Canis lupus familiaris: one gene and its partners. The protein of the gene in region 1 interacts with the protein of each later gene in a pairwise test. Links are inferred from orthologs where the notes say so. Each region holds a gene or a part of one and is shown on either strand. Other genes may lie near its edges.

Evidence for each region. The genes of interacting proteins can lie anywhere in the genome.
Region 2: the proteins of TCEANC (region 1) and SSNA1 interact in binary tests that used the Homo sapiens proteins (3 or more experiments, as listed by UniProt). The two-hybrid records come from large-scale screens. The link is inferred for Canis lupus familiaris from reciprocal best matches to the Homo sapiens genes TCEANC and SSNA1.
Region 3: the proteins of TCEANC (region 1) and RAD54B interact in a two-hybrid assay, tested with the Homo sapiens proteins (2 studies listed by BioGRID). The two-hybrid records come from large-scale screens. The link is inferred for Canis lupus familiaris from reciprocal best matches to the Homo sapiens genes TCEANC and RAD54B.

The regions. Positions count from the first base shown.
Region 1 is NC_049260.1:10,120,698-10,124,057, reverse strand, and holds the end of TCEANC (transcription elongation factor A N-terminal and central domain-containing protein), read right to left. Parts: intron 1,585-3,360; 5' UTR 1,577-1,584; coding exon 530-1,576; 3' UTR 501-529; downstream 1-500.
Region 2 is NC_049230.1:48,461,680-48,465,015, forward strand, and holds SSNA1 (Sjoegren syndrome nuclear autoantigen 1), read right to left. Parts: upstream 2,112-3,336; 5' UTR 2,004-2,111; coding exon 1,952-2,003; intron 1,566-1,951; coding exon 1,366-1,565; intron 1,033-1,365; coding exon 925-1,032; 3' UTR 501-924; downstream 1-500. Other genes in the region: ANAPC2 (anaphase-promoting complex subunit 2), read left to right, coding at 2,175-2,279, 2,479-3,101. UniProt on the Homo sapiens protein: Microtubule-binding protein which stabilizes dynamic microtubules by slowing growth and shrinkage at both plus and minus ends and serves as a sensor of microtubule damage, protecting microtubules from the microtubule-severing enzyme SPAST.
Region 3 is NC_049250.1:39,848,663-39,852,761, forward strand, and holds the start of RAD54B (DNA repair and recombination protein RAD54B), read right to left. Parts: upstream 2,801-4,099; 5' UTR 2,667-2,800; intron 986-2,666; exon of another isoform or gene 929-985; intron 264-928; 5' UTR 248-263; coding exon 113-247; intron 1-112. UniProt on the Homo sapiens protein: Involved in DNA repair and mitotic recombination. May play an active role in recombination processes in concert with other members of the RAD52 epistasis group.

The DNA of each region.
Region 1 (3,360 bases):
TCAGGAGCACGAGGCCTGGGACTCTGCATTTATAACAGGCTCTAGGGCAGGAGGAGCTGCTCTCAGCCACACTCAGAGAACAGCAGAGTAATATGTGGCCACAAAACAAAAAGTCATCAACTCTCTCCCCAAACGGTCACATTTTAGTGATTGTGGTGTGAGCTTGAACGAATGACTTTCCTTCCTTCTTTGTAGGGTTGTTTTAAGAACAGTGTGTATTAGATTTTATTTTATTTATTATTTTTTAAATTTTTTAAAAAAGATTTTATTTATTTATTCATGAGAGACACAGAGAGAGAGAGAGAGAGGCAGAGACACAGGCAGAGGGAGAAGCAGGCTCCACGCAGGGAGTCCGATGTGGGACTCGACCCCGGGACTCCAGGATCATGCCCTGGGCTGAAGGCAGGGGCTAAACCGCTGAGCCACCCGGGCTTCCCCCCTGTATTAGATTTTAAAAGCAAGCATAACAGGGTGGTATCAAAAAAAAGGCATCACTCTGGTTCTTGGTTAAGAGAACATTTATTTACAATTATAAGCACACCCACTTGCTATGGTACCACTGCTCCCCACATTCATTACAGATCACATAGGTCATCATCTCCTCATCTGGATTTGAATTCCGTACCCAACTTGGAAGGAAAAGTGTGCCTCTGGCGATTACGGTGACCTTGCAATTGAACTTCTCACAGCGTCTGCATTTTATTTTTCTTGTGTGTGTGCCCTCGATCGCTTGGGGAAGGTGATGCTCCTGTATGCAAGATTCCGTGTAGGAGGCTCTCAACTGCTTCAGTTCCTTGTTTGCCATTTCCATCACAGTCATCTTGGCAAATTCTCTCGGAGACATGGTCCCAGAGAGCAGGTTTTGTTGTAAGTGAGAATTTTTGGGGTTCCTCAGATTGGCAACTTTGCTTCTCACACAAGTTTTGTATTTTTTGAGGTTCTTGGAATGAAGGGTAAAAATGTGCTCTTCAATTTCTCTTGCAAAGTTTCGCCACAAATCAGCTTTGGGCTGCTCTGTGAAAGGACTAGTTAAAGCTTCATAAAGAAGCTCTGTGCATTTAGCTCTCACAGGTACCATGGGATCCAGCAACTCACTGGATCTCTGGGCAGTGGATTTAGGGTCACCACTCCTGAAATGCTCCTCCTTAGGTTCCGTCTGACTTGTGCTATTTTCAGGCACAATCATTTCAAAGGCTTCTGCAACACTGTGGGATGAAGAATTAGAGCTGGAGCCGCCTGATAGCTCATCCTGACTTGGGTCATGAGAAAGTCTTGAGTTTTCTTCATTTCTACCCGTAGGGAAAGATTTGTCCCTCGGTTTGAAGTGGAGATCCTTTTTATAAAGAGCTTTCCATTCTGACAGCAAGTGCTTGGCTTTCTTTTTCAAAGCCACCGAGGGGCAGTGTTTGAGGACTCTGTACACAGCCCTGACCACAATGGTCTCCTGGAGATCTTCTTTCGTCACACACAGAGTCTCCAGGTCAGTAAGGTGGTTGCCAAGATCCTCAAAATTCCTTTTAGACAGCAGTTGCTCAATAAGGGAGGCGCTGGCAGCTATCTGGTTCTTGTCAGACATCTTTACAGCTGCAAGGAAAAGAGAAAAGAGGTTTCTGGTTTTTTCAAGCTTGTGTTTGCCAGTCAAACTTCCTGATAATAGCAGGGCACTTTCTGCCAACTACCTATGTGGTGTTTTCTGAAAGAGTTGTGTAACACAAGTGGGTGTGACCTGTTAGAAAATGGAATCTGCAATGTGGTATGGTTTAGTTTCAAAAGGCTGAGTCTCAGTAGTTGGAAAAAGAAAAAAAAAGCGGCACTGTAACCAGCTTCCGCATTAACGGTTGCTTAAAAGAAGCTTGTTGGAAGAGCTCTATAACTTTTTCCATCCCAAATTTTACAGATTAATAGTCTTTCTGGATCTAGATGGGTCAGTTGCTTTGGATGGAATTTGGTGGTCACATTGGGCATGAGATCATGCCAGTGTCAGCATCAACAGGGTAAGTGAGCAAGGCTGGCCCATTTCTTCCCATATTCAGTTATAAAGCTGAACTACTTGTGGATTTTATCATCTTTAATTGGTACTTTTCTGAATATACAAGAATGAGAAACAGGGCAATAAGGGGATGCTATTTAGATGTTCCAAGGAATGTGACAAAATCATGAGATAATAGAGGCTACAAAGCAGCTGGAGCCAGATCTGATAAGCCCGAAGAGCCAATAGGCACTGTGCTGACATCCGAGTCTTCTGAAAAACAGGGTAAGCATTCAGACTAAGCAATCTGGACATTTTATGACTTTGGACCAACTAGTCGTAGGCCAGTTTGGTTCCATTAACTTTTTTGTTTAGCTTCTAGGTGTAAAAAGTTGTTTGATGATTATATCTGTGTGAATCTCATCCCAGGCAGGTGTTTATCTAACCATTCTATTTTTCTCTCCTCATAATGTACATAACCTTGCTACCTAATACCCTTGTACCTACATCTGCTCATCTGGTCTAAAAATGGACATATGCATCTTGATGCCATGGACCGTGTCTTTTCAAAAACTCATGGGCTTCCATTTTATAGCACTTGATATTAAATGCCCATCACTGGGTCCCCTGGGTGGCTCAGTCGGTTGGGCATCTGACTCTTGGTTTTGGCTCAGGTCATGCATGGTCTCAGGGTCATGGGATAGAGCCCATCTTAGGCTCTGCCCTTAGTGAGGGAGTCTGCTGGACTCCCTCTCCCTCCCCCTTTGCCGCTTGCACATGCACTCTCTCTAAATACATAAATAAATAAAATCTTAAAAAAAAAAAAGCCCATCACTAAGCACATAGGCTAATAACACCGAAGGGAGCACAGAGAAGATCAATGCAGCCTTCTTATTTTTTATTTTTTAATGCAGCCTTCTTAGAAACCATATGACAAGTTCTGTAAAATGCAATGTTCTTTTAGTCAGCAATTCTACTTCTGTAAGTTTACATTAGGGAAACAAAAGATGTGGAAGCTGTACATGTAAGAATTTTCTTCAAACTTTGAAGCAACTGCAAGGTCCCAAATGGCTAAACTTGCACACAAAATGTGCACAGCAGCATTATTCTTAATAGCCAAAAAGTAGAAACAACCTGAATGTCTGTCAACTGATAGATAAACATGTAGCCTATCCATACAATAGAATGATATTTGGCCAAAAAAAAAAAAAAGAAATTCTGATATATACTACAACATGGATGAACCTCGAAAACACTATGTCAAAAACACAGAAGACCACATATTGTATGATTCCATTTATATGAAATGTCCAGAATTGGCAAATCTATAGAGATGGAAAATAGACTGGTAGTTGACTAGGACTGGGGCAGAGGGATGAGGGGGGCAGTGG
Region 2 (3,336 bases), on another chromosome or scaffold:
TCCTGGAGTTCCAGGATTGAGTCCCACATCGGGCTCCCTGCACTGAGCCTGCTTCTTCCTCTACCTATGTCTCTTCTTTTCTGTCTCTCATGAATAAATAAAATCTTAAAAAAAAGAAAGAAAGAAAGAAAGAAAGAACCTTGAAGCTGGGGCACAGGCCTGTCTGGAGGATGGGTGAAAAAGAGGGCATCCTTCTGGGCCAGACCTCGTGCTGGGTAATAGGGAACAGCACGGACTGGGAGCTATGGGCAGAATACCTCCAGGGCAGTAGGTTAAGTGCAGTTGGGGACCAGAGGCCAGCAGCCCTGGTGGGGAGAAAGGGTGGGGGACAAGGTCTCGGGAGATGCTCAAGGATACCTTCAACTCTTTTCAAAAGCACAGGGAAAGCCAGTCCAGGCTTCCCTCATCCAAGGATGAACCATACCCAGCTGGGCAGGGGCTCATATTCATTCATTCCGGAGGTGTCCAGCAGTTCTGCACTCCAGGCACAGGCCACAGGGCATCTTTACAAACCTAAGCTTTATTGACAGTCACATGCCACCAGGACAAGCTCTGAGGTGCAGGGCCCCTGCCCTTTGCCCACTTCCCTGGCTGGGGCAGCAAGGTGAGGCCACTCTCATGGTGTGGAGACAAGGGAGCAGGGCCTTTCTGGCAGCACCGGGATGGGGGGTGGTGGCGACCTCAGGCCCTGAACAGAACTGACCCAGAGCCTGCACTCCCCAAGTCCTGCATGAGTACAAGGCCGGGACGTGCCCAGAGGTTTCCTTGTCACCTGGGGCAGGTGGAGCTTGGCAACAGCCTCTTGGTACCTGAGACACTGAAAGGGGGCAGCTGGTGCCAAAAAGAGTAAAGACGCTGAGGATAGTCGGAGGCCCAGCCACTGCCGGGCACAGTAGAGGCAGGCCCCTCCCCAGAACGGCCCCATCAGCTGTCCTTAGCTCCGCTGCTCTTCTGCTCTGAGGCTGTGGCCTTGGTCAAGTTCCCAGCTTCCCTCTTCAGGACACTAAGCAGAGTCTGCGAGCTCTCCAGGATCTGGAAACAGACGTAGGATGGTCACCACCACTCCTCGCCAGCACTGAGCTGTGGGGCAGCAGTGCAATGAAGCCCCTGAAGGGCAGGTCAGACAGGGTCAGCAGGGCCCGTTCCCCCTAAGACTAGCCCAAAGCCCCTTCCTCGCACCCCAGGGAAGCCAGTCTAGGTTAGCTGAGCCCGGGGCCGCTCTTTGCTCATGGTCTGGGAGGACAATGGTGCAGAAAACAGGACTCCTGACCTGCCAGGCCCCCGACAGCCTCACTGACACCTAACCGGGATCCTGTCGCCCCTGCGTTTGGCCGGCCCTAGACTCCCCCGGGGCCCCAGCCCCACCTTGAGGTAGGCGGCTTCTGTCTCCGCGATGGTCCGGTCAAACTCGTTTCTAGAGGCAATCTTGCGGGCCAGGTTCTCGTTGACGCGAGCCAGTTTCTCGGTCAGCTGCCTCACTTCATTCTGCAGCCGCTGCTTCTCGTCTTCCTCCTGCTGGATCTGCCGGCACAACTCCTCCCGCTTCTGGCACAACTCCTCGATGCCTGGGATGGGCGAGCGGGAGGGCACACGCTGTGGACCCAGGGCAGGAGGGAGCACAGCACCCCTCCCACTCTGGAGCGTGCCCGGTGCACTGGACGGTGCGCACCCCTCGCACCCTGGACCGTGCGGGGGGCGGGAGGCGGTGCACGCTCTCCCCTTCCGCTCTGTCCCTCACTGCGCAGATACCCGGCGCCCGGGCGAGCGGCACAGCGGCTGTCCCCCTGGCTCGCCCGCAAGGCCCCCGGCGCCGTCCCGGCCGAGGCCCCACGCACGGACGGTGCAGCCCGTTGGGCCACGCGCGGCAGGCCCGCCACCGCCTGGACCCGCAGGCCGGCGAGCCCCGCGCCCTCCCAGCCCACCAGGCGGACCCCGCCGCGAGGCCGCTCACACTTGACCAGTTCGTTGTTATAATTCTGCAGCGCTGCGCCCTGCTGGGTCATGGTGACCGCCCAGGCCGCGACCACCCCAACCGCCGCTACTGCATCGCCGCTCCCGCCTGCGCGGTGCGTCCGACGGCGCGCCCTCCGAAACGTCACCGCTGCGCGCCGCTCGTGTGCGTCATCGCCGCGCGCCGCACCCGGAGCTCGGGGGACCTGGAGGGGGCCGCGCAGATGGCGGCGGCGGGGCGCGACGGCGACCCCGGGCCCGCACAGGAGCTGTTGCTGGCCTGGAACACCGTGAGCACCGGGCTAGTGCCGCCGGCCGCGCTCGGACTGGTGAGGCCCCGGGAGAGGGCAGCGGGCCCGCGCGGGGTCCCTGGGACGTCCGCCGGGTGGGCGTTGTGCTCCCGGACAGCTCCTACCTGGCGTCGGCCGCAGCCTCCCCTCCGCTGCGTCCCTTCCCCACTGCTCCCCGTCCGTCCCCGCGCTTTCCGCGTCCCTCCGCGTTCCCTTCTCACGGTTTTCTGCACCGCAGGCGTCCTCCCGCACCAGCGGTGCGGTGCCGCCGAAGGAGGAGGAGCTCCGGGCGGCGGTGGAGGTGTTGAGGGGCCACGGCTTGCACTCGGTGCTGGAGGAGTGGTTTGTGGAGGTGCTGCAGAACGACCTGCAGGCCCACATCTCGCTCGAGTTCTGGAATACCATCTCCCAGCGTGAGAACTGTGCGGACGAGCCCCAGTGCCTTCTGCTGCTCCTTGACGCCTTCGGCCTGCTGGAGAGTCGCCTGGACCCCTACCTGCGTAGCCTGGAGCTGCTGGAGAAGTGGACTCGCCTGGGCTTGCTGATGGGCGCAGGCGCTCAGGGGCTTCGGGAGAAAGTCCATACCACCTTGCGGGGCGTCCTGTTCTTTTCCACTCCCAGAATGTTTCAGGAGATGATTCAGCGCCTCTACGGGCGGTTTTTGAGAGTCTACATGCAGAGTAAGAGGAAGGGGGAAGGGGGCACAGACCCGGAACTAGAGGGGGAGTTGGACAGCAGGTACGCCCGCCGGCGGTACTACAGACTTCTGCAGAGCCCCCTGTGTGCGGGGTGTGGCAGTGACAAACAGCAATGCTGGTGCCGCCAGGCCCTGGAGCAGTTTCACCAGCTCAGCCAGGTCCTGTGAGTACTTGTGGCTGTGGCCATTTCCCTGTTCTTCTTGACTCTAGATTACTTTCCTGGGTCCAGCGGCCTCTTCAGAAAGCTGGTGAGCTGGCTCTGGGGAGGGGGGCATCTCTGCCCTGACAGTCCTGGACATTACAAAGGGACAGTCCCCAGGGTCCCTGTGCTGTGAATTTATACTCTTTGTCCTGGATAAAAAGAACAAGTATCTCTGCCACTCACGCTAATCTCAGGT
Region 3 (4,099 bases), on another chromosome or scaffold:
TAAACCACTGAGCCACCCGGGCTGCCCGACGTACTGTTAACTTAAGTGACATGTCTTTTTTAAAAAGTGCGTGCTTCTCTATATTATGCTTCCTTTTTTTTTTTTTTTTTACCTCAATTAATTTTACATCAGGACTCATCTTTGTAATCCCTTCATCTGGACTTGGATTACTTCTCGCTGGTGGTACGAATTTTAGTTTTTTGAGGGGATTCCCCTGCAACTGACTTGGCGCTGCAGACCGTCTCATATTCAGCAGTACCGACCTAAAAAATACCCAAAACACAGATCATCCATGCATCTGATAGAATTAACTCCAAATAGGAAAACAGTTCATCGCTACAACCGTATCTTTAAAAATACAGTAAGAGACTAAATATGCCAAAAAGCCTTAAAATATAAGTTTAACAGCCAGTAAGATTTTATTTTCATCACAAAGGGCTCCTGTAAGGAATCGAGGACTTAAGCAGGATGCCGTAAACGTGAGCCCGCGTGTTGGAGAATGCGAGGGGGGCCCGGGTCCCCGAGGCCTCCAGGGCGCCAGCAGTACCCCTCTGCGCAGGAGGAGCCGACGGCCAGCCGCCGCCCCGCTGACCCCGCCCTCCGCCTTCCACCCCCCCAGCAGCGGGCCCCGCCGGGACCCCGGGACCCCCGTGGCTCCTGACCGCGCCGCCCACGGTGCCCACGCACGGGGGGGGGGGGGGGGGGGCCCCGACCCTGCCAGCCCCGCGGGCCAACTCGGGAGGCCCCGGCAAACAGCCCAGCACCGGGCGGGCCCCACAGGGAGGCCCCGCAGGGAGACCCCCGGCCCGCGGTCGCCCCTCCCTGGGGCCTGCGCACCGCCAAGACCCTGCTGCCACCCGACCCCCCCGACCCCGACACCCTCACTCTTCAGCCCCGGCCCCAGCTCGCCCCCGACCCCCCCCCCCACCCGATGCTCCTGGCACCGGACCGCACACTCCAACTCCGGCCCCGACACTGCCTTGACCCCCACCGGCCGCGCCCCGCCTCCAGACCCCGACCCCGTCCCCATCCTCCGACGCCGCAACCCCCCCCCCCCCCCCCCCCCCCCCCCCCGCCCCGTGCACTTTAGCTCTGATCCGGACCCCGACCCCCATCCCTCCCGAACCCAACCCTGCCCGCCTCGCATTCCGCTCCGACCCCCACTCCGACTCCCACCGCCCGCACACATGAGCTCCGCCCCGACCGACCCGCCCGCCCCACACTTTAGCTCCACCCCCGACCCCGACCCCGACCCCCCCCCACCTCCGCAGACTTCAGCTCCGCCCCACCCTCCCCCTTAGCTCCATCCCGACCCCGCCCCCGCATCTTATATCCGCCCCAACCCGCATCCGCATTTAGCTCCTCCCCCACTCGGCCCCCGCCCTATTCAGCTCCGTCCCCCCGCCCCTGCCCCATCCCTCCCGCCCCCGCCCCCTTTAGCTCCGCCCCCACTCAGCCCCTCACTCTAGCCCGCCCCCACCCTCCCCTCATACTCTAGCCCCGCCCCCCTCTCCCCCTCACATTCTAGCTCCGCCCCCCTCTCCCCCTCACACTCTAGCCCCGCCCCCACTCGGCCCCTCACTCTAGCCCCGCCCCCACTCTCCCCCTCACACTCTAGCTCCGCCCCCTCTCCCCCTCACATTCTAGCTCCGCCCCCCTCTCCCCCCTCACTCTAGCTCCGCCCCCTCTCCCCCTCACACTCTAGCTCCGCCCCCACTCGGCCCCTCACTTTAGCTCCGCCCCTCTCCCCCTCACACTCTAGCTCCGCCCCCACCCGCCCCTCACTTTAGCTCCGCCCCCACTCGGCCCCTCACTCTAGTTCCGCCCCCTCTCCCCCTCACACTCTAGCTCCGCCCCCCTCACTCTAGCTCCGCCCCCACTCTCCCCTCACACTCTAGCTCCGCCCCCACTCGGCCCCTCACTCTAGCTCCGCCCCCACCCGCCCTCACTCTAGCTCCGCCCCCACTCTCCCCTCACACTCTAGCTCCGCCCCCACTCGGCCCCTCACTCTAGCTCCGCCCCCACCCGCCCTCACTCTAGCTCCGCCCCCACTCTCCCCTCACACTCTAGCTCCGCCCCCACTCGGCCCCTCACTCTAGCTCCGCCCCCACCCGCCCTCACTCTAGCTCCGCCCCCACTCGGCCCTTCACACTTAGCTCCGCCCTCTCTCCCCCTCACTCTAGCTCCGCCCTCACCCTCCCCTCACACTCTAGCCCCGCCCCCTCTCCCCCTCACACTCTAGCTCCGCCCCCACTCGGCCCCTCACTCTAGCCCCGCCCCCACTCTCCCCCTCACACTCTAGCTCCGCCCCCTCTCCCCCTCACATTCTAGCTCCGCCCTCTCTCCCCCTCACTCTAGCTCCGCCCTCACCCTCCCCTCACACTCTAGCTCCGCCCCCTCTCCCCCTCACACTCTAGCTCCGCCCCCACTCGGCCCCTCACTCTAGCTCCGCCCCCTCCCCCTCACACTCTAGCTCCGCCCCCACTCGGCCCCGCCCCTTCCCTTTCGGCTCCGTCCCCCGTCGCTCCGCACCCCTCCCCTCCCCTCCCCCCGCCGCTCCGCCGCCTTCCTTCCCTCCGCCCCCGCAGGCCCCCTTCGGCGCCCCTCCCCACGCCGTCCCGCACAGGCCGCCGCAGCCCCCCAAGCCGCCCCCTCCGAGGACGTACGGGCGAAGATCCCACAGAAGCCGCGCGTCCCAGCAAGACAGCCGGCGCCCGAGGTCCCGTCACCTCCCGGAGGTTAAGGCTCCCGCCTCGGAGCAGCCTATAGCGGGCGAGCCGGCCGCGCACGCGCACTGCCCTCCACCGGCTCCGCTCGCACGACCTCGACTGCGCATGCGCGGGTCTCTGCGCGGCCCCGTAAGCGCCTGCGGTCCGGGTCCGAGGTGTGGTCCTGCTCCGAAATATCTACTTGGAAAAAATATTTCTTTCCTTGTTGATGGCCTCCTGTCACCCGCTGTAGGAGCTGAGGATACAGACCTCATCTTAGAGCAGATCACACAGCTTAAATCTGGAACGTCGACACAGGTGTGTTCGCTGCAGGTGGATGGTCTGTGCTTGGAGAAACGGTATGCAGACGTCCTTGCCCGCGCAGCTCCTAAATCGTGCAGCACGTTAGGAATGAAGTGACTTTAGCAGTGTTGCTAAAATAATACAGGCCCTTAAATTGCCTGGCACAAATCGGCAAACTAACAATGGCCTGATACCCTTTAATATAGTGACAAGGCAAGGAAATAGACAGGTCCTAGGCCTTTAATGCAAAAGTATCTCCAGGGGCACCTGGGTGGCTCAGTTGGTTAAGCCTCCTCTTGGTTTCAGCTCCTGGCATTGAGGCCTCTGAGTTCCAGGCTCACCCACTCATGCTTGCTCTGCCTCTCAAAGAAATAAAATCTATATTTTTTTAAAAGTATCTCCAAACCGGGATCCCTGGGTGGCGCAGCGGTTTGGCGCCTGCCTTTGGCCCAGGGCGTGATCCTGGAGACCCGGGATCAAATCCCACGTCGGGCTCCCGGTGCATGGAGTCTGCTTCTCCCTCTGCCTGTGTCTCTGCCTCTCTCTCTCTCTGTAACTATCATGAATAAATAAAAAAAAAAAAAAAGTATCTCCAAACCGTGTCACTGTATGATCTATCAGAATACTCCAGTTTAAACAAAACACTTAGAAATGCGTGAACAGGGGCATCTGGGTGGCTCAGTCGGTTGCACACTGGACTCTTGATGTCAGCTTAGGTCTTGATCTCAGGGTTATGAGGTCAAACCCCACATTGGGCATGTTGGGTGTGCAGCCTACTTAAAATAAGTGAATACAATTTTCATCATTCAGCATGATTTTCAAAAGCCGTTAGTTCTAGGGGTGCCTGGGTGGCTCAGATGGTTAAGCATCTCATTCATGATTACAGCTCAGGCCATGGTCTCAGGGTTGAGAGATCAAACCCCATGTTGAAGGCTAAGCACCAGGCTATTTTTAAGACTCTCTCCTCTCTCTACTTCTTCCCGATTATACTCTCTCTCAAAAACAAAAAAAGCCATTTACTCTAAAACAGATGTGAAAATTACAGAAGACTAAGTTTTACCAAACTGTACTAGAGAAGGTATCATTTT